3 linked regions of the Lonchura striata genome follow. The protein of the gene in region 1 interacts with the protein of each later gene in a biochemical or structural test. Links are inferred from orthologs where the notes say so. Each region holds a gene or a part of one and is shown on either strand. Other genes may lie near its edges.

Region 1 (7,059 bases):
GTTATTAATATTAACCAAGCATAATCAACATGGATTTTAATCCACACCTTTATAATGGCATGAGTCATCCCCAGTGCTGAATAATCCTTTTTTATTTATATATAGTATTAGCCAGAATCAGGGGAGCACTTTTACAGTAGAAGTTCTCTTTGCAGATCGGAAACTTGCTTTTTCTATTCCTGCACTTGAGTGGTATGGAACCATCCACATCCAATAAAAGCCAGACATGGCTATTTTCAAGCAAAAACAAATTCAAGTACAAGTACAAATTAAAGAACTGGACTACAAACAGATTTCCATTATTCCAAAAAACAGCTGAGTTGCTAATCTCAAAATTTACTGTAAATTTTAAGACTAATGTTTTGGTTTGGTTTTTTTTATTTCATCAGGAAGCAAGTTAAATCCTTTAAAACCACTGGTACAAGGTTCATCTCTTTCCACACCAGAACGTCTCTTAGTTCCGTGCTGAAGAACCTTTACAGCTCTTCAGTTATAAAGAGAGCTCAAAAAAAAAAAAAAAACCCAACCAAAAAACCCTTGAGGTTTACAGGAGACATGAAGCAGGAGGCAAGGCAGTCCAGCTCAGTTAACACAGTGACATTTTGTCCCACAAATCATATACGTGCTAGGAAACTTGCGTCACATCTCCATCCAGGCCGCTGGCAGACACACCAGTGTTTGAAAAGAGTAAAGGGGGGGCAGGGGACAGGAAAGTTAAAAAGAGAAACCATATGTTTGCAATATACACATCTCAGTGTACACTCCATCACGTGCCAAAATGCCAACACAACCTTTCAGTGAGCAGGCGACATCCAGAAACTCAGTCTGCAGAGGGACAGGGAAAAGATAAGTAATTAAACACTTTTTCCAGATTTCTTCCCAAGACCTGTCAGTTAACATGAGACAACACATCTCTGTGTGTCTCCCAGTACTCCGAGGCTGTGGGATGTGTGTCTCCAGCAGCAAGTTCTCCCAAGAGCAGAAGTGTATTTACATTCCCTTTTGTTCCATCCCTCCCTGCTCCCCAGCTACAAAGAGGCATTCACTCCTATCCTTGATTACTCAAGTCCAAATCCTTGCTTTTGCCATCAAAACACACCCCTTTGCAGGCTCTCAAAAGAAAAGGAAATATTTCCTCTGAAAAATTCAGTTTTCTTTCCCCAGGAAACTGGTGGCATTTTCTCCCCCTTCCTCCTCACACCTGTATCTCCTGCTCCTTGGGGAGGCTGAACATCCTCCTCCCCGGGGCACATTTTCCAGAGCTTTAAAAGGTTGGTCTGCAGGATTACATCTTCCCTGTCTTTACAGGGAGCTGGTCTTCTTCCTACAGCGCTGCTGGTCTCTCAAGGCAGAGGGAGAGGACAAAGCCTGATCCCACAGAGCAAAAGGGATTTCCAGAAGGATCTCCCCCTCTCCACAGCTTTAGTTCCTTCCTACTTTTAAACAATGGTAAGAATTTAATCTCTTAAAACAGCATTTTCACAAACTCTCCCACCCTCAACAGAAAACAAGCCTCCCCACGAGGCACAGTGGAAAGCCTGGGCATGACAGTGCTACGTCATCCAGAAACTTCAAATAAAAGCACTCCACAAAGATTACCCAAAGAATTAATCTCCTTCCTAAAACCCTTTGGCCTGGAGCCTGCCCTGCCACTCTCCTGCTTCATTCCAAGTCTCCGGAGGGTGAGACGGGAGGCACCGACCTTAGTCACCTGTGGCACCACCTCCGATAATGTCACACACTCACCCTAGAGCAATATATCCCTCAAACACACCCTGACAAAATGGTCGAGACAGCCAATAAATCAGTACAGCGGGAGGCCTTTGGTAACTGGGCAGTTTAACGCCAAGAGAGAGTGAAAAAAAAAAAATAATAATTTAATGGAGAGAGCAAGGACTGGGGCCTCGAGCTGAGGACAATGAATGAAAACGCACGGCAGCAGCAAAATCCCAGGGTAAAAGGTTCATTCGGCGGCTCTACCAAAGCCTCCGCGCAGGGACCAAAGCAGCGCGGGGCTCCGAAGCTGCTGAGAGATGTGATCGCCCCAAAATGAACCGGGCTGCCCTGGAAGGAGAGTCCACGCAAGCTCTGGATTAACTCCCGCTGAGCACCTCAAGCCCAGCACATCCCAGACCACACCGTGATGGGAAGCGAAGCCCCCCAGAGCGGATCCCGTCCCTCTCCCCCCGACACCAGGAGACACAAACCCTGCCCAGGGAGGAGCCCCTGCCAGGGGGGCATCCCCGCGACCACCACAATCCTCTCCTGGGATGGGGCAGCCCCACATCCCCTCCCGTGGGCCACACACACAGATGAGGAGGGGCAGCAGCCTCAGCAGAGGGGTCCCACAGACCCTCAGAGTCCCCCGCAAGGCGGGGGGACAGAACCTCTCACATCCTTCCTACATACGTGGCTGGAGGAGGGGGGTGGTCACACAGCCCCAGTCCGTGACCGGGTGTGTGCGACGGGACCCCTCCAACCGAGAGACACCCCAGACCCTCATACCCCTCAGAGTGGGGAGACAGACATCCCCCTCAGTTGAGGGGTCCCACAGACCTTCACACAGCGTGGAGGAACGGACCCTTCACACCCTCACATGGCTGAGGGAGGGGGAAGCCGCACAGTCCCACTCCTTTGCGCGGTGTGTGACAGGATACCCCTCAGCCGAGGGGATCGGACCCCCGCTTCCCTCAGCGAACCCACACTCCCACATCCGCGGGGCACCCTGCACCGCCCCAAACCCCAGTGACCGCTCACCGATGACCTCCTGCAGCTCGTAGTCATCCTTGTTGATGGACCAGGGCAGCGCGCTGGGCTCCTCGGCCATGGCCGCGCCGCGCCCGCCGCCCTCCGCGCCGCGAGGGGGAGCGTCCCCGAGGGCTGAGGGAGCGGAGAGGAGGCGCTGCGGTGTCCCGGCTGTCCCCGAACCGCGGCCGAGTCCGAGCCCCCTCCTCCTCCGCCTCCTCCTCTCCCGCCGCTACCGCCGGCCCAACTCCGGCCGCCGCCACCTCCTGCACCTGCCCATGCCCGGAGCGCGAACGTCACCCGCGCGCGCCCCGCCCGCCGCGGCGGGGCGCCGCCCGCCGCCATCTTGAGCGTGGCGCGGCGACACCCCGCCCGCCGCCAGAAGGCGACTACGCCACGGTTTTCTCGGTTATCACCACCGGCCTCAGGGGACGGGCCGGTAAAGGAGGACCGCAAAGCGAAGGATAGAGGAGGAGCCCCTAAGGAAAGGGCGGGAGATGCCACACACAAGATGGCGGCTGGGAGCACCGTCCCCGCCCTCAGGCACAGGGCGGGAGCGGGTGTCTGTTTAAGAGGAGTGAGGGCAGCGATTGGCTGCCCGCTGCGGATCCGCTGCTCCTATTGGTCGAGCGGCTGTCAATCATGTGCTGGCGTTTCCCGGGTCCCTGTGCCCGAGGGGCCGGGCCCCGCTCCTGCCGTGAGGGGATCCAGAGCGGGGCCCGGCCCGGGCGCTGCAGGGATGCACATTCCGTGTTTAAAAATAGCGTGTGGGTGTGGGGGATCTGGAGGCCTGGTATGCTCGCAGCCCCCGAGGATGGGCAATTCTCTGCTCCACACCGCAGTTCCAGCGTTCGTGGATATGTCCGACACTCTGATGGAGATGTCCTGCACGCTCATCCTATGGTTTAAGGCTCCACACCCGGAGCTTTTTTATCTGGATGCACTCAGGAGTACATCTGGTCATCGAGGAAAAGAAATTAAAATTTAAGAGTGAGGAATACAAGGCTGAGTGGCACCATGCACTCAGGAAGGCTGATGTCGCTCTCTAATATATATACATTTAAATGGTTCATAGTTTGAGGATTATTTGCATTCCCCAACATGAAAAGAAATAAAAGAGCATCTCACTATTGCAATGCAGGACTGTAACCATCAGGAGAACTGACTTGGAATCTGAGTATCAGGTTTCATCCTTTGCTGGTCACTGTTCTTCTTGTGGCTTGATGTCAGGCCCTTCTGTGGGTCAAAGAACATCAGTTACATGTATTTTTAGTTTATTAGGACAAATTCCTGAGATGCCTCTGGTGAACCAGGCTTTGTGGAGGGCCACTGCCAAAGGCAGGGTCTGACCACAGTGCTTTCACTCGTGCTCTAATGGAGGACACCAGCTCCTTCCTTCACTCTTTTTTGTCTTTACAAAAGCCCCCAGCCCCATCTCGCTCACTGCTGTATGGGCACTCCACAGCTCTGTCATAAGGCAGAAGCTCCAAGTGAAAAGCTGTTTGTTTTCCTGCTTGTCTGTGTTAAACATTCCCCTGCTGAGCCGTTTTTAATATTTGCTAAATATGCCTTAATTACTGCTCGGAACTGTCTCTGTGATCTTTTAACCATGTTATAGAAGGAGTTTATATAGCAATTAAAAACAGGTTTTACCCCAGAGCAGGCACCCGGGTAGCCAGTGTCATATTTCTGATAGCTAACAGCATGTTAAAAATGGATCTGAGCCAGGCACCAACTACAAAAAGAGGCTTTTACACTTAATTTTACCACATGCATTTAAATTCAGAACCATCTTTTGGATTCTCTTATTCTGGGCTGAAAATCCTCTCCCTGAAGGCAATGCTAAAACTCTTACTGCTTTAGACCACTGGGGTAGGATTAGGTCCACAATGTGCCTTGTTCTTTAAGAATAACCACAGGCTCTGATCAGAATTAAAATTTAACATGTTCACTGGCAAGACCACTAGTGGCCACGTGAGCATAGAGAGAGGAGTACTACATTTTAATTTTCCAGTTCTGCCATGAAAAATGCATTTCCATATTTTTAAACCCAGATCTCTCATTCACTAATAGTCTCCAGGTCTCATAAATTTGGCATTATTTTTTTCTTTTAATGAACTCAGCATTTTGAGTCTCTCAAACGACAGAGATTACTGTTGCACTCATTCATTTGGTGGGTTGTTCCAACCTGAATCTGCTGAGGGATGAAAACATGGAGCTGGATTCCACAAAGCTTTCATTCCTTAGCCAGCTACAGACCTCCAAGCAACTTCTCTTCTTTCATCACTTCTGCTCATCCTCTTTTTCCTGATTTGCTGAATTTTGCCTGTCTCGTGTAGGCTGTGAGCTCCTCAGGGCAGAGGCAATGCATCTATTTATAAAAGAGCTGTGAAGTGGTGCTGCTGAATCAAGTGCTCTTTTGTAATAACAAGAAATTTTAGTGGAAATATGAAGTGGAAAAGCAGCTTCCTGGTGTATCCACCTCTGCTCTGGACCGGGCTTTAGCAGAGATTGAGAAGTGGAAAAACTTCAGACGTCTTTCAGATGGGAAGGCTGCAGCCTGAGAAAAAAAAAATTCCCTGTTGGAAAAAAAAAAATCCAGAGCTGGGTTTCCTGCATTTTTTGACTTCCAGTAAAACACCATGGATCAGGGCAGGCGGGGCCCTCCTCCTCCATCAATTCTGCAGCAGAATGGAGGCTTTCTCCTGGCTCCTGCATTTCACTGATATCCTGGGGCTGGTGTTCCACTGCCAAAGCCTTGGCACACCAGGCACACAACGCATGCTCACACAAAATGCTCCCCTTCTCGTAAGGCACATGGTTTCCTGCCTTTCTGGGCCAATTGCTTATTGTTTCAGTGAAACTTACTGGCACTGTCCAGCTCTTAGCTTGGTTTTTCCATCCATGTAATATTGCAAAAATGATGTTTAATACCCAGGTTGGTTTTTGATGCTCAGCACACAGGCATTGCTACCTTTAGTACCTGGAAGGAGTTCTTGACGGTTTTTCTCAACAGGTCAAGGGAGGTGATTCTGCCCCTCTGCTGCAGTCTGGTGAGACCCCACCTGCAGATCTGCATCCAGCTCCAGGGTCCCAGCACGGGAAGGACATGGAGCTGTTGGAATAAATCCAGAGGAGACCACAAAGATGCTGGAGCACCCCTGCTGTAAGAAAAATGGAACAAACTTTTTAGCAGGGCCTGTTGCATTAGCACAAGGGGCAATGACTTTAAACTGAAGGACTGTCAGTTTGGATGAGATATCAGAAAGAAGTTTTTTACCATAAGGGTGGTGAGGCACTGGCACAGGTTGCCCAGAGAGGTGGTGACACCCTATTCCTGCAAATATTAAAGGTCAGGTTGGATGGGGCTCTGAGCAACCTGGCCTGGTTGAAGGTGTCATTGCAGAGGGGTTGGGCTGGATTGCCTTTAAAAGTCCCTTCCAACCCAAACTATTTTATGATTCTATGGTCATCATCACAACTGTGAACATAAACTAACTTCATTTATGCGTGGGTCGCAGAAAACCAATTTAAACTCCAGTTTGTGTATTGAAATCTGTCCTGCAGATTTAATCTTTCTAGCCATGTAGCCTCTCAGATATATAATTTCCTTCTTGTTAGAGTTTAAGCCGAAGTAGCTCTTTCAGCATGGCCATGCAGAGACATTTGCTGTCACAGTTCAGCGGTGTTTGGGCCGTGGCATTTGTTGCTGTGTTTATGGTTTAAGGCTCTTTAAGGCACCATAAACCTCTGTGTGTGAGTGCAGTGGCCCCCAGGGCTGGTGCAAACAATGGCAGTTCATGTGCCTGTGGAGCTGCCTGGTACAGGCCTGGGCTGAGGGAAGCCCATCAATGCCTGTTTTATTGCCTTCGGAGCTGGACAAACCCATGTCCTCGAGCAGAATGCCTGACCTTGTTCCCTGCAGAATTTGCCTGCTGTTCTCTCTTCATGGAAACACTTCCAGGTTTATTGAAGGGACCTTACTCTATCAAACTGCAGCTGATTACTTAACTAAGTGCAAGGCAGTTTCCTCTCCAACAAACAAAGGCAGGCACTGCACTTGATCTCCAGGGGTTTCTCCTGGCAGCTTTGCTTTGGAGAAATGATATGAAGACCCTGCAGCGGAGGAAGGAGCAGTGATTTCAAGCCCTCCAACTGGAGCAAGCTTTTAATAATAGTTGTTTTTAAACCACAAGCTAAATTCCAGTCTAAACCACACCAGCAGGTTTTCCTAAGTGATCTTGTGTGCTACCCTGTATCTCCACCCCGTCACAGAGCCATTTTAAATTCAGCTCTGAGGTCACTTTGAAGTCA
Region 2 (7,866 bases), on another chromosome or scaffold:
TCTAGCTCCTTCAGCAAATACTTTTAACAATTAGAAAATGTAAATTTTAAAAAGCTGGTTTAAACTTCTCACTTCATACTGTCTCCTGAGAGGAAAAACAGCCTCTGGAATCTGGCTTAACTTAACCCACACGGCACTCCTGCAATGCAGTTCCCCTCTGAGCAGCACATCAAGTATTTCCCCCTTGCAAATATTCTCATTCATGCTTTTTGCAACTTGTCAATTAATGAAATTCAGAAACCAATTGAAAGCCCAGCAACACGCCCTTTAAAAATGAGCTTCGCTAATAAATTCCTTCAAAAGTGGTGTTTCTTCAGATAGTTTGTCCACATGGTACTGATGATGATTAACACACCTCAAGAGGCAACATTAGTGAAAAGCAACGGATGCCAAGCTGCCATTAGTTTCTGATCAGTAAGTGTGAAGATTAAAACAATCTTCAGAGAATAGTCACAGAACTCAAAAATTCAAAAGATTAAAATTTCAAATAAAAATAATGTAATTTTGACAGATTATTTATCTCCTCACAATTCAAACTGCACAAGTAAAGCTTCAGCAGAGCCAACACTTGATCATTTTACTTTCAATTTAAAATCAATGCTGAAACAGGCCACCACAGCAAGTATGTAGCTAGCGTGGAGGAGCAGGGCATGCTGAAGGGTCACAAAGAAAACTGGAAGCTTTCTTCCACAGTTAGTAAGCACAGAATAATGGCAATAGCATAATGAACCAAGATACTGGTAGAATGCTTGAGCAACCATCCAAAAGCAACTATGAATTCAAATTAAGAAATCTTTTAATAAATTCCCTCAGCTTGACTGAAACAAATAAACAAATGCTTTTGAGAAAGTTCTGGTGCAGTTACTGCAATTGATCATTTGTGAGCCACTGACTGCTCAAAAACTCCACAAAGAGTTTTGGGACTTTCACCCAATGCTCTCTTGTCTGCCCTAAACAATAATAAAGATCTACTACATGAGCCCTTCTATGAATTGCACCAAAACCCAATACTAAAAAACAAACACTAACACTTTTTACTTAACTCTGAGGCTTTGAAAACAAACCAGCACACCAGGTATTTGTTCCTGGTACTCCCAGCTCTTCCCACTTTTTTCCAGGCTGTTGCACAGCAACCTGTGTCTGTTGCACAAGCTGTGACTCGCAGGGAACCAAGGGTGTTCTTGCCATCCTTAGACTGGGCTCCTACAGAACTCTGGCTCTGCTCAGTCTAGAAACTTGATAAAAGAGCGGTGTCTTAGTCCAATTTAATCCACCAGCCATCTAGAAAGGCTAAACTTTTGGGTGCTTTCTAAAGCTTTGGAAGGATAATTTCTTTCCCTGTCCCTGTTAACAAATATGAACCCTGGAAGTTGAAATGAATAAAACTTTGCAAAACTAAATCGTGTGATACACTGCATGACTTGTGTACGTTCTAGAGTCATCTATCCCACAAGAATCCACTGCCACTACCAATGAAATGACTGTGAAATTAATGTTTTCACATTTCTTCCTAAGAAAAACACCTAAACAAATTCTGAAACGTTAAGGGTAGCTCAAGTCGACATTCACTTGCCCATCTTCCCTCAGCCTCCTTGAAGCTGTACACAAGTGATTTTACAATCCTCCTTTCAAAGGCATAAAATGCAAGACACTATACGAAACAGAACTGTAGCATGTTCTGCAATGATAAAGCTAAAAGACTCTTCAGAGAGTATTTAAAATAATTAAAAGGCAAACTGCCTCTATGGAAAGGATGCACCTTTTTTTCAAAGGACTTCCTCAGGTAAGGTTTGCAGCTCTTTCTGAATCAAGAAGATCTCGAGCTGATGGGTTTTATCCCCTTCAAGCACAATGACTAGCACCTGGGAGAGTGACTGTGGTGTGATAATTCACTTTTTTTATTTATTTATTTTACCTGTAGCTCGCACCAGGCAACTTCCACAGTGGTTTCAGTATCCAGTCCTTTATAGACAGTTTTGAAAGAGCCTCTTCCAATCTCGATGTCAAACTTCAGGAAGCGCCCATCCGGGGAGATGCCCACTGCCTTGGTCTCAAGCTCTTCAATGTCTTCCTGCTGCGTTCTCCGCTCCTCAAATTCCCGGCTGGCAGCAGACAGGCTGCCAGCGACACTGGTAGGGGGTAGCGCAGTTGCCTCATCCCCCTCCTCCTCCTCCTTGGGCAGCAGCGGGGCGGCATCCTTGGCGGCCGGGGGCTCCTCGGCAGCCTGTCCTTCCAGGGGGAGCGGGGCGGGCGGCGGCGGCCGCGAGTCGGCCTCGGAGACAGTGACAGGAGCGTAAGGGGTCCGGCCGGCACCCGAGGGAGGGAACACCGAGGGAGCCGCGCTGCCTCCCGAGACAGGGACCGAGGGCGCTGCGGGCTGCAAGCTGGGCAGCTCCAAGGCCGTGGCGTTGGAGTCGCAGATCACACTCCGGCGGAAGAAGCGGTGCTCAGTGGCTGCCGCCCCTCGGCTGTCCTTGTCCATGGTGTGGCGGCGGCGCCGGTACTCCTCACTGCGGCCTTCGTTCCCCGGTCCACCGCCCGCTCCACCGGTGCCGGAGGTCCCGACAGAGCTGTCCGAGCTGGAACCGTTCCTGGGCGGCGGCGGCGGCGGCACCAGGAAGCGCGGGCTCGGGGGGCCGCTGCCGGCGGCGTCCGCCGACATGGTGCCCCGGGGGAGCGCGGCTGTGGCGAGGCGGCGGCGGCAGGCGAGAGAAGGGCCGGTCACTGAGCGGGGAGCGCGCCCGGCCGCGGCTGCCGTTGCAGCTGCAACAGAGGAGGGTCCCAAGGGCTCCTCTCGGCGGAGCTGGGAGGCTGGGCCGGCGGGGTGGGTCCCCGGTCAGCGTGTGCATCCATCCTGCAGCGGGGAGCAGGGCAGCTGGGCCGACATGGAGCACCGGGAGCAGACACGGGGCGCTGGGTTGGAGTGGCGGACGGCGAGAGAAAGGAAAGCCCGAGCACCGGGGAGGCCCCCGAGCGGGGAAGCGCCGGTAGCTCGCCGGTTGCAGTTACCCCCGGCGATGGAGAGAGAGCGGGGGGAGAAAGGGGCCGGGACGCGAGGAGGAAGCGGGGCGCAGGCCCGCACGCCAGCAAAGCCGCCGCGCTCAGTCACTCGTTTCCGAGCGGCAGAGGCCCGGGCAGGCCCAGGGCAAGGAAAGGGGTCCGGGGGGCTCAGCCCCGCCTCACCCGGGCGCCCATGGCGGCCGCGGCCTCTCCACCGCCCGGCAGGCGCAGCCACCGCCCGCGCGGCCGGGCCGCGCTCTCTCCAACAGCCGCGGCCGCCTCGCGCGGAGCCGGAAACCCTCCTCCTCCTCCCTCTTCTTCTCCTCCTGCTACTGCTCCCGCTGCCCGCAGCTGGCGCTCCCCGGGGCCGCCGCCGAGCCGAGTCCGGGTGGCGCCCGGCGGGCAGGACCGAGCGCGGCCGCCCGGCGACGCCTCGGCGCTAAATGGCGACGGCGGGAGCTCGAACCGACACACGGTCCGGGGGGGGGAGGAGGGGCCGCACCGCCGGCCACGCCCTGCCCGAGCGCGCATCGTCCCCTCCACCCCCCCCGCCGAGGGGAGGTGGCCGCTCCCGCCGCGCGCGGGGTACCATGGGAGCGGTAGTTTCCAGCGGCCGAGCCGCGGCAGGGGAGCCGCCCGTGGATTCCCCCGGGATGGAGGAAGGAAGGGAGCGAGGAACAGGAGAGGGGAGGGAGCGACGAAGGAGGATCCCGGCGTGCGCCGAGGGCCTGGGGGCCGATGTGCTGTGGGGAAGCTCGTCCTGCGCGGCCGCCCCTTCCTCCCCCCGCCCGGCAGGTGAAAAGGCACCAGGTCTGCTTGCACTGCTCCTTTCTTCGAGTCTTGTGTTACACCCACGCGTTAAGTGTTTCGGATGTACGTATTCATTTCGATATTGTCTATAAGTAGATAAATATATCTCACAGAATATCCCGAGTTGGAAGGGACTCGGAGTCCGGCTGCCTGCCCTGCACAGCACATCCCCAGTCACACCGTGTGCCCGAGAGCGGTGCCCAAATGCTCCTCGAGCTCTGCAGGCTGGTGCTGTGCCACTGCCCTGGGGAGCTGTTCCAGTGCCCACACACCCTCTGGGGGAAAAACCTTTTTGTAATATCCAACCTAAACTTCACCAACTTCAGGCCATTCCTGTCACAGGTCACCAGATGGAAGAGATCAGTGCCTGCTGCTCCACTTCCCCCCTGTGAAGCTGAAGACAGCAATGAGGTCATGTTTTCAAACAGCCTCTAAAATTATTTAAAATCATGGGCAACAGCAACTCCATGTAGCTGAGTACTATACAAACAAGTAGAGAGTTGGGGTTTTGCTCCATTTAAGCCATCTGAAGAGGCACTAAGTGGCCAAGCAACCTGAAATGCAATTAACTGCTCTGTAAATGTCATTATTCAAAAGAAAAAGAATTTGCACCCTCTGCCCTTAACACAAGTGTTATCTTGTGGCCCCTTCAGTCGTGCTTGTGGCTGCTGCAGCTGAACCCAGGCTGTACAAAACCTGGGCTGTACAGCAGCCAGAGCCCACATGAACCCTGACATGAATTGGGAACTTTCAGGTTAACAAGGCATTGGCAAAGACGAGTCATCTAAATTATTTATATCATGTTCCTCTTTTGTAGAATAAACGAAAACCAAGCACTTTCCTTCTTACGCCAGCAATCTTTTGAAGTCAACTGGAATGTATTGAAGAAGGAGTAAATGATTTTGTGCCATGACTTTCAGGCAGCTACAAAGCAAAAATTACACTGAGGAAGAAAAAGAAAACTAAGAAAATTCCCTGAGTAAGTAATATGTTCTCAGCAAACACACTGTTGTTTTAAATAGTTTTTCTAATGTTACTTTTAAACCAGCAGTTTAGAGGAAGTTGTGTGTTGCTGATGTGAGGCCTTAACTCCTTCTGCAAAAAGTAGCACAAGTGTCCCTTTCAGACAGAGTTCCACAGCTCCCAGCCACAAATCATCAGTCTGGGCAATTCTCACGTGCTTGTGTTCCTCACAAAAAAAATTTGACGCAGTAATCAGCATACTGCCGTTTTCCATACATCCTTCTGTGCATCCTTAATGTACATCCTTTTTAGCCTTTGTAACATCAAACAAAATAATGGTACAGTCTTCATAAAGAGGACAAGAAGTGTTTTGTTGTACAGCTCTACAGTCAAGATTTTTGCATGGCTTAAGCCTTCTAGGGCTTGCCTTCACTGGAAACGTGGATTTGTCAGGGTGCCACTTGAACTGCATTGGCACCAAGAGTAGACATGCTCCAAACCAATGCTGAGCTGAACAGGGTAATTTGATTAGCAGCAGAGTGGCTGGATCAAAACTGATTAACTCATAATTCAATCTGCCTCATCCCTGCTGCACTGCCAGGACCAGCAGCTCCTCTGATCGCCATCAGGGTTCGGCGTGACTGCGGGTGTTTGTGGATGTCTCTGGGCAGCAGAAAGACAATTTGTGCATAGCAGCAGCAGGTGTATCCATGCTGGCTTTATACTGTTAAGTGCAGTAGGACACAGTAGCAGGGCTCCAGCAGGAGCTGACAATGCAGGCCCATTCCCTCCCCTGGCCTGTGCAGTCCCAGCAGCTCTGCTGTGGCTGCCTTCAGAGATCTGCCTTCCTCCACTGCCCACTGCATTTTTATCACCCCTTTGGATAGGACCAGCAGGAGTGGATAGCAAACCTTGCTCCATTCGATGCCTGATGTAACTCCTTCGGCATGTACCCACGGTAATGCAGTGATCAATCAAAGTGTGGTGTAAGGCCATGGAGCTGCTTGGTGAATTCCACTTGCATCATCATCATCACCAGTAGGTTTGTCGGGCAGTCCCAGGTCTGTGCCCAGCCACATCCCTGTGATCTCCCACTCCAGGTAGATGGGCTGCAGCTGGGAACCACCGACCTGCACATGTGGCTCACAGGAGACCTCGCGTGCTGCCCCTTCTCACTCAAGTGCCTCTCACCCACTCTTCTTAAATATATTTTCCCTCAGTTAAGTTAGCAAAAGCTTTGCAAAAGAGACTGCAGCATAGCCAGACGGGGCCCCAGGCGGTCTTTGACTAAAAAATTGTGGTAATTATGTAAAAAGGCACATCCCCAGTGTCTGATCCAGCACATTCCTTAGCACTCTTGAAATTCTGGGAGGTTGGTCTTCAGTGCAAGGTCCCTAACACCCAGCTCCTCACACTGGCTCCTCTTCTGGGCAGAGGTAGGCAGAGCAATCATCTTGGCAGGAAAAAAGAGCTGAGCAGCTGACCTGGAGGTGGGAATGATGGATTTTTGTCTTCTTTGACTCTGAAAAAAGAAATGGTATGATATTGGCAATTATATTTTATGTGGGTGTTGATTTAATTTTGTCATTCTAAAAAAAGATTACTGTAATAAAGAGTGTAGGCTTCCTTTCCCTTCAGTTTTATTTCTTTTAATCTGTAAAACTCTGTTAGGCTAAATGGAAAATTTCGGTATCGCAGCAAGATTTAATAAGCTCAAAGTAAATTCTATATGTATTCTACGTTTAGAAACAATTAATATAAAAAATAGTTCCTGTGCCAGAGCTCCACAACCAATTAAAAATATTTATTTTGCCTTTTGCTGTAAGAAAAATCCACAGAAAGAAGGAGACTGACTACACTTGAGAAATTACAGGCAAAGAGATTTAAACAATCTTTTGATAGAATCCAAAGGGCTTACACTTGACATTATAAAAATATCCTTATGTCAAGCCTTTTATAGTTACAATTGTCTTGGTTGGAACAATAATAGTTTAAAAAAATTACTTTGAATGAAGTGTGATTTTGAAGTTGACCGAATCAAAATTTTTTTTCCAGTTTTGCTTTCTCCATGAAATTTCATCCACTGTTGGCATCCATGACCTCCCCATGTGACAAAGTCTTAATGGGAAGCAGCTATTCTCTATTTTCTCTTATGCAATCATTATGCAATACAGGAGGCTATGCCATAATTTTGATGCATATGTTTTTATTCCATAACCTAAGTGCTCTGCAAAGCAAACTCCTCATCTCAGTTTTATTGCCAATTACCAAATTGCAGCTACAATGCCATATTACAACAGTGACAGTACAAGTTTTTCTAAAAAAGTTTCTTCTTTTGCCTTGACATTTGTTAAATCTAGGCCTCTGCCACAGTGTTCACTTGTGTTTCTTAGAGCTGCAAGTAAATGAAATAAAATATTTCAAGTCCTCATGCTTGAGGAATGAGACTTTCCAGATATTCTGTTTTGCTCTGTTTTATCCTCTAGTAAGCCAGTTTAATTTATTTTATTTTAGGTGAGGTTTTGTACTTGCAAGTAGCTCTGGAGGTTGGGTTGGTTACAAAAACATTGTAACCATCTCTAGGACCTATAGGCAGTTTAAGTCCTCAGGCTCTGCAGTAGGTGGTCCATCAGATGGCATTGGATGGTGAGTCTTGCCCAAACCTCTGAACCTGGGTGCTCTCTCCACTAGCAGAAACCATGGGAATTGGAAAGAGGAAGAACTACAAGTCTTACAGGCCTTAAAACCAAACATCTCTCTTTATGCTAGCCTGGCTTAGAGAGTCTCCAAGTTCTGCAGGAAGACAGGTGTGCACCACAGCTGAAACACCTGAGCAAAGTCTGAGCTGTAGCTGAAGGACTGGTGAAACAGCTAGCCAGACTGCATAAGAAGGACTAAATCCAGTTAATTATGTGACCTTTCTTATTTATTGCTTGAGAAAATGTCAACAACCCTGCACCATAAAACTGGAGCAGAGCATGTGCTTCTTCATCAGCTTGAAACATACATTTCCCTTTCACCCACCCATCCACCCCCATTCTAGCTACTAGAATAGAAAGCACACCTCTTTTTCTTTCCTTTTTTCACTATTCT
Region 3 (6,912 bases), on another chromosome or scaffold:
AATCACACAGTCAGGTATTTACAGCTCGACCCCACTCTGGGCCTCTGGTTTCCTCCCTGCTTCCTCTTTCCCCACCGCCCGCAGCACCTAGGACAGAAATAGTGCCAGGCTAAAGCTGGAAAGCACAAACAGTGGGGCTGTGCACACGGGCGGGAGGGACAGACAGACGCTGCCTTCAGGACAGGGGACAGGGATGGGCAGGTCCCCCGAGGGGTCTCACAAGACAGGCAAAACCAACCTCTGCCTCCCGAGCTCTGAGGAGGGAAGGTCAGGGCAAGGACAGCAGGGAGAGCTGGGGTTGGGGACTGGGATCCATCACAGCACTGAACCAGGTTCTCTGGTGCAGAACAGGTCAGGCCTGAGGTTAAGTACTCATTTGGAATTGAAAGGTAATAGAAGGAGAACTGTGAAGTGCACACGACAAAGCTATTTTTAAAATAGCAGAACCACAACCATTTTTATTTGTGGTTCCAAATCCCGTATTTGTGTCACAGTGTCCAATTTTTGCACGATTGCAGAAAAAAAACAAACTTCTAAATGTCTGCATCTGTGCTCTTAGCCCCTTGTGGGACACAGATTTGGGTACAAGAGACAGTGGATAAAGAGCAGTCAGTGGAATTCAGCCAAACACTGGGTGGGGAGGGCAGGGGCAGGCACGGGTGGGAGCAGGGATGTGACTGCACTCCCGTGGGAGGGTGCAGGACCAGAGGGGTCAGGTCTGCACCCAGCACTATGGGATGCTCACAGGAGGGTCCCTGGCAGGAGCTCAGCCTGCACCCCAGCCTCTCCACAGCCACCCCCAGGGGACAAGTGAGTGGTTCTGCCACTCCTGCCTGGCTGGCTCGCAGGACCAGCAACGGGCCCAGCCTGTGCCTGCTGGACTGGAGCACTGGACTGGAACACGGAAGCATTTTGCTTCCCAGCTCCCTTTTCCCTTCCACCTGAGTGGTGCAGGCTCATCCCCTTGGCAGCCCCTCCAAGACAGCAGCACTGCCTGCAGGGAGGAGCAGGAACAAGACCTGCTGCCAGCCCTGCCAGCTGTGTGCCAGCCCCAGGGCAGGGGAGCTGGGCCACGGCTGGGCCATGGGGCTGAGACCCACAGGGAGGGACACGGAGCCAGCTGATGGGAAGTGCTGGGCACAACTGACTCATCCAGGGAGGAAGGTCCTGAGTTCACCAAGGAGAGCCTGTTCCAGTCAGTGGTTGCCACCTGAAGGGATGTAGGACTCAAGAGAGCTCAGGGGCCTTTGGACAGAGCTGTGAGGCTTTGTGAGAACTGAGCTGGCTCTGAACTGAACTCTCAACAACAGGAGCAATTGTGGAATCCATGGGGGTGAGGGGCAAATCTTCACCTTCCTCACTACGAGGCCATAGTCAGCCCTCTAAAAACCACCCACCAGTCTCTCAGGATCTCTTCTTGCTCTGCTGGGCTGCAGCCACTCCAAGGACCCAGCCCTGGCAGCCACCTGCAATTGCACTGAGCTTTTAGGAACAAGACAACAAACTCGAAAGACACGTTTTTCTGTGTCAACAAGGACTTGGACCTTCCCACCACAGCAGCCATCCCAGGCTCAGGAGCCTGAGGGAGACTTTGGACTTCACCAAAACCCCTCCCCGGGTGCTCCAAGGAGAAAAGGCAGCCCCACAGCACAGATCTCCCTGTGCACCTCCATGGACAAGATCAGGCCCATCAAAAGCACTTGAGTGAGCAAAGGCATTGTGGAGGCAACACTATCACCACTGCTCTCAGCATGCTGCTGTCAGGCTGCAGGACAGCCAAGGAGATGGAGGAGTGTGGCAGCAGAGAGGAGAACAGGGATGCTCCTCAGAGACCTGGAACCACAGGTCCAGCTCTTCCAGTATCCTGCCATCCCCTGGCAACATCACAGAAACCACTCACAGGTGGCCATGTACACGACTTCAGCCAAGGTCAAGCAGGCAGAAAGCACCAAGGTCGTGTTGTACCCTGTTCCCAGCTGACAGCCAGCCCCAGCTCGCTGCCCCAGGGCACACCAAGGGCTATCGGAGCAAACCTTGGAGGCAGCTCCAGCACAAGCACAGGCAGGCATGCAGAGAGGGCACTGCTGCCCTCGCTGTCCTCCTGGAGGGAAAGCTGCGAGCTGCTGAGCATCGGAAAGACAGTGGGATGGATGCTCAGCCCCAGATCCACCTGTTAAGTGCCAGAGCAGGGACTGGCATCAAGAACGTGGGCACATGCTCCATAGTGCAGGCAGCAAGAAAGCAAATGGAAAACAGCACGTGATGGGCAGGAGGGCCAGGAGCGGCGGCACTAAGCAGGCAGGAGTCTGCGTGCGGGCCAGCAGACCCACGAAGCACCGAGGCACGGGCAGTGATGGGCACAGCGCAGGGCAGAAGCAGAGGCTCGAGGGTGCCCGCCCTCGCCGGTACAGGCTCCAGCCCGGGAAGCGCCCCGCGGGTCCCACACAGCAGCAGGGTCAGGGCCGGGGAGGGCTGCACATGGAAACTGGACAGAAGAGGGTCCAGGTGCCTCTCTCCAGCCCCTTGCCCCGGGGCGGGGGTCTGTGGGTGCGGGCAGACAGGGGCGGAGGCGCTGGCAGGGGCCGTACCTGCAGCTCGCACCAGGCCACCTCCACGGTGGTCTCCGTGTCCAGCCCCTTGTAGACGGTCTTGAAGGAGCCGCGGCCGATCTCGATGTCGAACTTGAGGAACCGGCCGTCGGGGGAGGTGGCGACCGCCCGCGTCTCCACCTCCTCGCTCTCCGTCTCCTCGGGTTCCCGGAGCCCGGCAGCGGCCGGCGGCGGCGGCGGCGACCCCCCGCGCTCCCCGTCCGGCGCCGGGTACCCCAGCAGCTCCAGCTCGGCCGAGCTCCGCCGGTTGAAGCGGGAGGAAGCACGTCGGGAATCGCGCCCCGAGGACCGCCGGCTGCGGTTACGGTGCGGGGCCCGTCCGGTGAGCCCCGGAGCCGGCTCCGGCTCCGGCTGCGGCGCGGAGCCGCTGTCCGCCCGCTCCGCCTCGGGATGGGACATGGCTCCGGCAGCGGCGGGCTCGGCCGCCAGCATCGGCTCCGGCCCGGTGGGAGCGGCCGCTCCCGCGCAGCTTCGCACCCGTGGCCTCCGACACCCCGCAGCCAGCAGCGACCGCCGAGACCCGCTCCGGGCACCGGCCCCGGCACCGCCGCCGCCCCGCCCGGCGGCACCGCCCCCGCCCCGCCCGGGTCCGCCCCCGAGCGACCGCCGCCCCCCGCCCGCGCTGCGCCACCGGCCCCGCGCCGGGCAGGGGCACCGCACCGGCACCGCACCGGGCACGGCCCCGGGACGGCGCCCAGCTGCAGCTGCGGACACGGGCTGCGAGCGGGGCCCCGCGCCCCGGCACCGCTCCCGAGCACCCGGGATGTCCCCTCCCAGCCGGGGGTCACCGCCTGGCGCCCACCGGGTCCGCGCTGTCCCCGGGGCTCCTCGCAGTCCCCTCCCCGCAGGACAGCCCCGTCCCTGCCGCCGCCCCCGCGGGGCTCCGGGGCTGCTGTGACTAACGCAGGAATGTCCCCGGTTCAGACATTTCCTCGGAGTTTCTGAGCCTGGACCCGGAGCAGCGTGTGCTGGAGCAGCGGAGAGCCGCTGCCGGGACGCCGGTTCCCCCCCAGACAATCCCGCTCGGGTTCACTGCGGTCCGAAATCCTGAAATTAGGGTCACGCAAATAGGAAGAGTCGAAGGTGTGTGTCAGCCCCGCGGGAGCCAACAGCCGGACAAGAGCGTGTTGTCTCTCCAGGCTGAAGGAGAAGGTTGTTCTGCCGGTGAGGCTGTTTACATAAAACACAAAGCAATTGAGGCCACCGCAGATTTCTTTTCCCTGAGGCCAGATTGTTTCTACTCAACGATACCGGAAACATTAAGGAGTGGATCGAAAAGGGAACGCAGTCGTGGTCTCCCAAACGCCAAGCTGGCACCCGCAGGGTGATGCCGGGTGACTGCGGTCAGCAGCTCGGCTGTGGCCACGTCCCGCACGGCTGCTCCCCACAAATCCCCGCTGGGGCGGGGACAAGAGGGAGGGACAAGTATTTAATGAAATGTTCCTGGCCGACCTGCGTCTCGCTGATCTCTGCTCTGCTAACCCCACCCGACCCACCTCCTCCTGCCCCAGGAGACAGGTACCTCCTTCCCAACAAGGAGTTTGATCGATGCCACCCTGCCAAGAGCTGCTGGAGCAGAACTGGCCGGAGAGCAGGGAGCAGCAACCACATCCCGACTCAGCCCTGCACTCCTTGGAGCATGTCAGGGGCTTGGTCCCAGGTGAAGAAGCAGCGCTGGCAGAACACCGTGTCCAGCCCCTGCAGGGCTGTGCCTGCTGCTGGGGCACCGGGAGCCCGTGGCCACTGGAGCCAAAAAGCCAAGACTGAGAGGCCACAGGTGCAGTGCTTGCACTGGCCCTGCCATGGGTGACTCTTGGGTTGTAAGATGCAACATGGCTTGGCTCAGCTCTGTTAAACAATGCTCTTTGTTCAGGTGAGCCTTACCCAGAACCTTCTGAGCATGGCCAGACAGTGGGGCAAGCTGCTCGAGGCCCTCTTGGTTGACTCTGGCTGCCCCCACACAGAGGTCCCTGCCAGGGCCCATGCACTGCTCAGGCTGGCAGGGAGCCCTGCTTCTCCAACAGGAGACACAGAGCCAGGCAGGGACCTCAGTTTGTCCCCGGCAGGCTCATATCTCCTTATCAAGGGTTTCCATCGTGAAACAAAATGCCTTGGAAGATCCCAGAGGAGCAGGGGAGTATCCCGGTCCAGTGAGGCCCCTGCAGACAGGGGAGGAAATTAGGGGAGAAGTTTGCTCCAAGTGCTCCCCTCCCACACCTCCCTTGTGAGTGGTCTGAGAAATTCCCTAAATGATCTCTCCAAATGCCACTCCACACCAGAAGTTGGTAGAGAGGTGGCAGCTCGGGCAGGGGAACAGATCCTCTCCTGACCTGGCCAGGAACACCAATCTGCAGCCAGCTTGGCCTGAAACCAGAAGGCTCCTGTTCCACAATCAGGCGCCCACTGCAGCTCCCCAGCATTATCAGGGTGACATTTCTGGGCTGCAGGTGCCAGTGCCAGGCTTCACTTTGAGGAACCGCCACAATCAGGGAACATAACCCATTTCTCGCCTACATTTGGCTGCCAGGAGTACAAGGCACTGTGTAATCACCCTCCTCAGAATTAGATCATGAATCAAAGCCCTGCTCAGCTCCAGGCTCCGCCAAGCCCTGCCAGGAATTGTCCATTCTGACCCCAGAGCTTGGGGCAGGATCACAGAGGGGCCAGGATGGGTCTGGACAAAGGGGATGCACAGCTGGGGCTGCAGAGCACAGGGTGCCTGTCCTGGGATGCTCCAGGGACACCCAGGGCTTATTTCACTGTTACCTTCACCACCCCATACCCACGGGACCTTCTCTCTCTCACTCTAACTCATGTGAGTTCAGGGAGGCAGCGATGGCACTGAAACCTCAGCTGTGGCTGTAACCCTGGGCAGATCACTGCAGAGGATTTCCTCAGCCCAGAGGCACAGATGGGACCTGCCTGCACGTTTTTCCCAACATATAAAGTTATCAAACTGAAACAGTTCCTGCTCCTAAGCAGCTGCATTAAAGAAAATCTTTCTCAGAATCTTTCCTCCTTGACCAGTGGGATCTGAGTGTGCCCAGCCTGATAGTGCCTTATCTTGGCACCAGCCCCTCTGAGCTCTGCCTCACCCTGGCCAGCGAGCCCTAATCACCGTGGCCAGATGTGGCAAGGGCCTCTGAGGGGCCACAGGCTGGAGGGGGGGGTTGTACTAGCCACCCCCACCCCCCCAAAACCACCCTGAGCCACCTCCTCCAGCGAGCCCCTCCCCAGGGCTGTGTGGCTGGGCTGGACAGCACTTCACAGAGGGACATCTGCTCCCTCCAGGCTGGCAGCAGCTCTGCCACTCTCAGGACCCATCCCACGGCCTCAGCAGGGACACCCTGGCCTCAGCAGGGACACCCTGGCCTCAGCAGGGACACCTCTCTGCAGCAGCCCTGCCCAGCCCAGGGAAGCTGATCCCACAGGTCCTCACAGGCATGGCTGGATGTGGCCTCTGGTAACCAGAGCAGAGGGTGTGGAAAAGGAATTTTATACAATGTCCACTCTGGAAAGGGGACGTACTCTTCCTCCTCCTTCTCCCCCCCCCCAACTAAGTAAGCAACTAAATAGGAAGCTGAAAAAGAGACGGGAATTGCTGCCAGGAGTGCCTTGGAATGAAAAGCTGGTTTTAGGCTTATCTAATGTCACATCAGCCATTTCCTAAGAAGGGAGCAAATTTAATTAAGAACACAGACTCCCTCAAGGACAGCCAGGTTACATACAGCACTCCCAGCCTGGAACACAGTGCTGGGAGGTCAGCATCGTGCACACAGGCAGTGAGAACAGACACTCCAGCCCGGCTGCTGAAGGATCATTGTTTGGGATCAAAGGCAGACACCTTCAGGCACAGCACCCTGGCTCCCTGCAGGGCTACAGGAGCAGCCAGGGAGGGAAGGGGCAATGCAGGTGGCATGGGGAGGAAAGCAGAGGCAGATCTTGGACATGGAAACAAACCCAGGGCAGACACTGGGAGCACATGAATCCTACACAGAGACTTTGGTGGCTGCAGACAGAGAGGATGATCCCTGATCAAGCAGAGGCTGTGCCAGTTTTGTGGGGACAGATGCACTGCAGGGCTCATGGCACAGCCTCTGCTGCTGGGTTTGCTCAGAACCCTCAGTGGCAGGACCATGACAGAGCTCCCAGGGGTGATGGTCCTCAGAAAGGAGACCCCACCAGCCCATCATGTCAGTGACTCAGGAGCATTGCTGGTGCCTTTGTTCAGCACAGAAGTGCTGGCACTCAGGAATTCCCCCACAGCACTGCTGAGCCTGGCATGGAGAGGAAGCCTGGGCTC

Evidence for each region.
Region 2: of the proteins of OXSR1 (region 1) and WNK1, one has a biochemical effect on the other in vitro, tested with the Homo sapiens proteins (2 studies listed by BioGRID and IntAct, with this or other methods). The link is inferred for Lonchura striata from reciprocal best matches to the Homo sapiens genes OXSR1 and WNK1.
Region 3: the proteins of OXSR1 (region 1) and WNK4 are reported together in a solved structure, tested with the Homo sapiens proteins (2 studies listed by BioGRID and IntAct, with this or other methods). The link is inferred for Lonchura striata from reciprocal best matches to the Homo sapiens genes OXSR1 and WNK4.

What each region holds. Positions count from the first base shown.
Region 1 is NC_134603.1:152,475,319-152,482,377, forward strand, and holds the start of OXSR1 (serine/threonine-protein kinase OSR1), read right to left. Parts: upstream 3,028-7,059; 5' UTR 2,828-3,027; coding exon 2,758-2,827; intron 1-2,757. UniProt on the Homo sapiens protein: Effector serine/threonine-protein kinase component of the WNK-SPAK/OSR1 kinase cascade, which is involved in various processes, such as ion transport, response to hypertonic stress and blood pressure.
Region 2 is NC_134607.1:12,041,580-12,049,445, reverse strand, and holds the start of WNK1 (serine/threonine-protein kinase WNK1), read right to left. Parts: upstream 3,017-7,866; 5' UTR 2,663-3,016; coding exon 1,916-2,662; intron 1-1,915. UniProt on the Homo sapiens protein: Serine/threonine-protein kinase component of the WNK1-SPAK/OSR1 kinase cascade, which acts as a key regulator of blood pressure and regulatory volume increase by promoting ion influx.
Region 3 is NC_134627.1:6,218,650-6,225,561, forward strand, and holds the start of WNK4 (serine/threonine-protein kinase WNK4), read right to left. Parts: upstream 3,057-6,912; 5' UTR 3,042-3,056; coding exon 2,589-3,041; intron 1-2,588. UniProt on the Homo sapiens protein: Serine/threonine-protein kinase component of the WNK4-SPAK/OSR1 kinase cascade, which acts as a key regulator of ion transport in the distal nephron and blood pressure.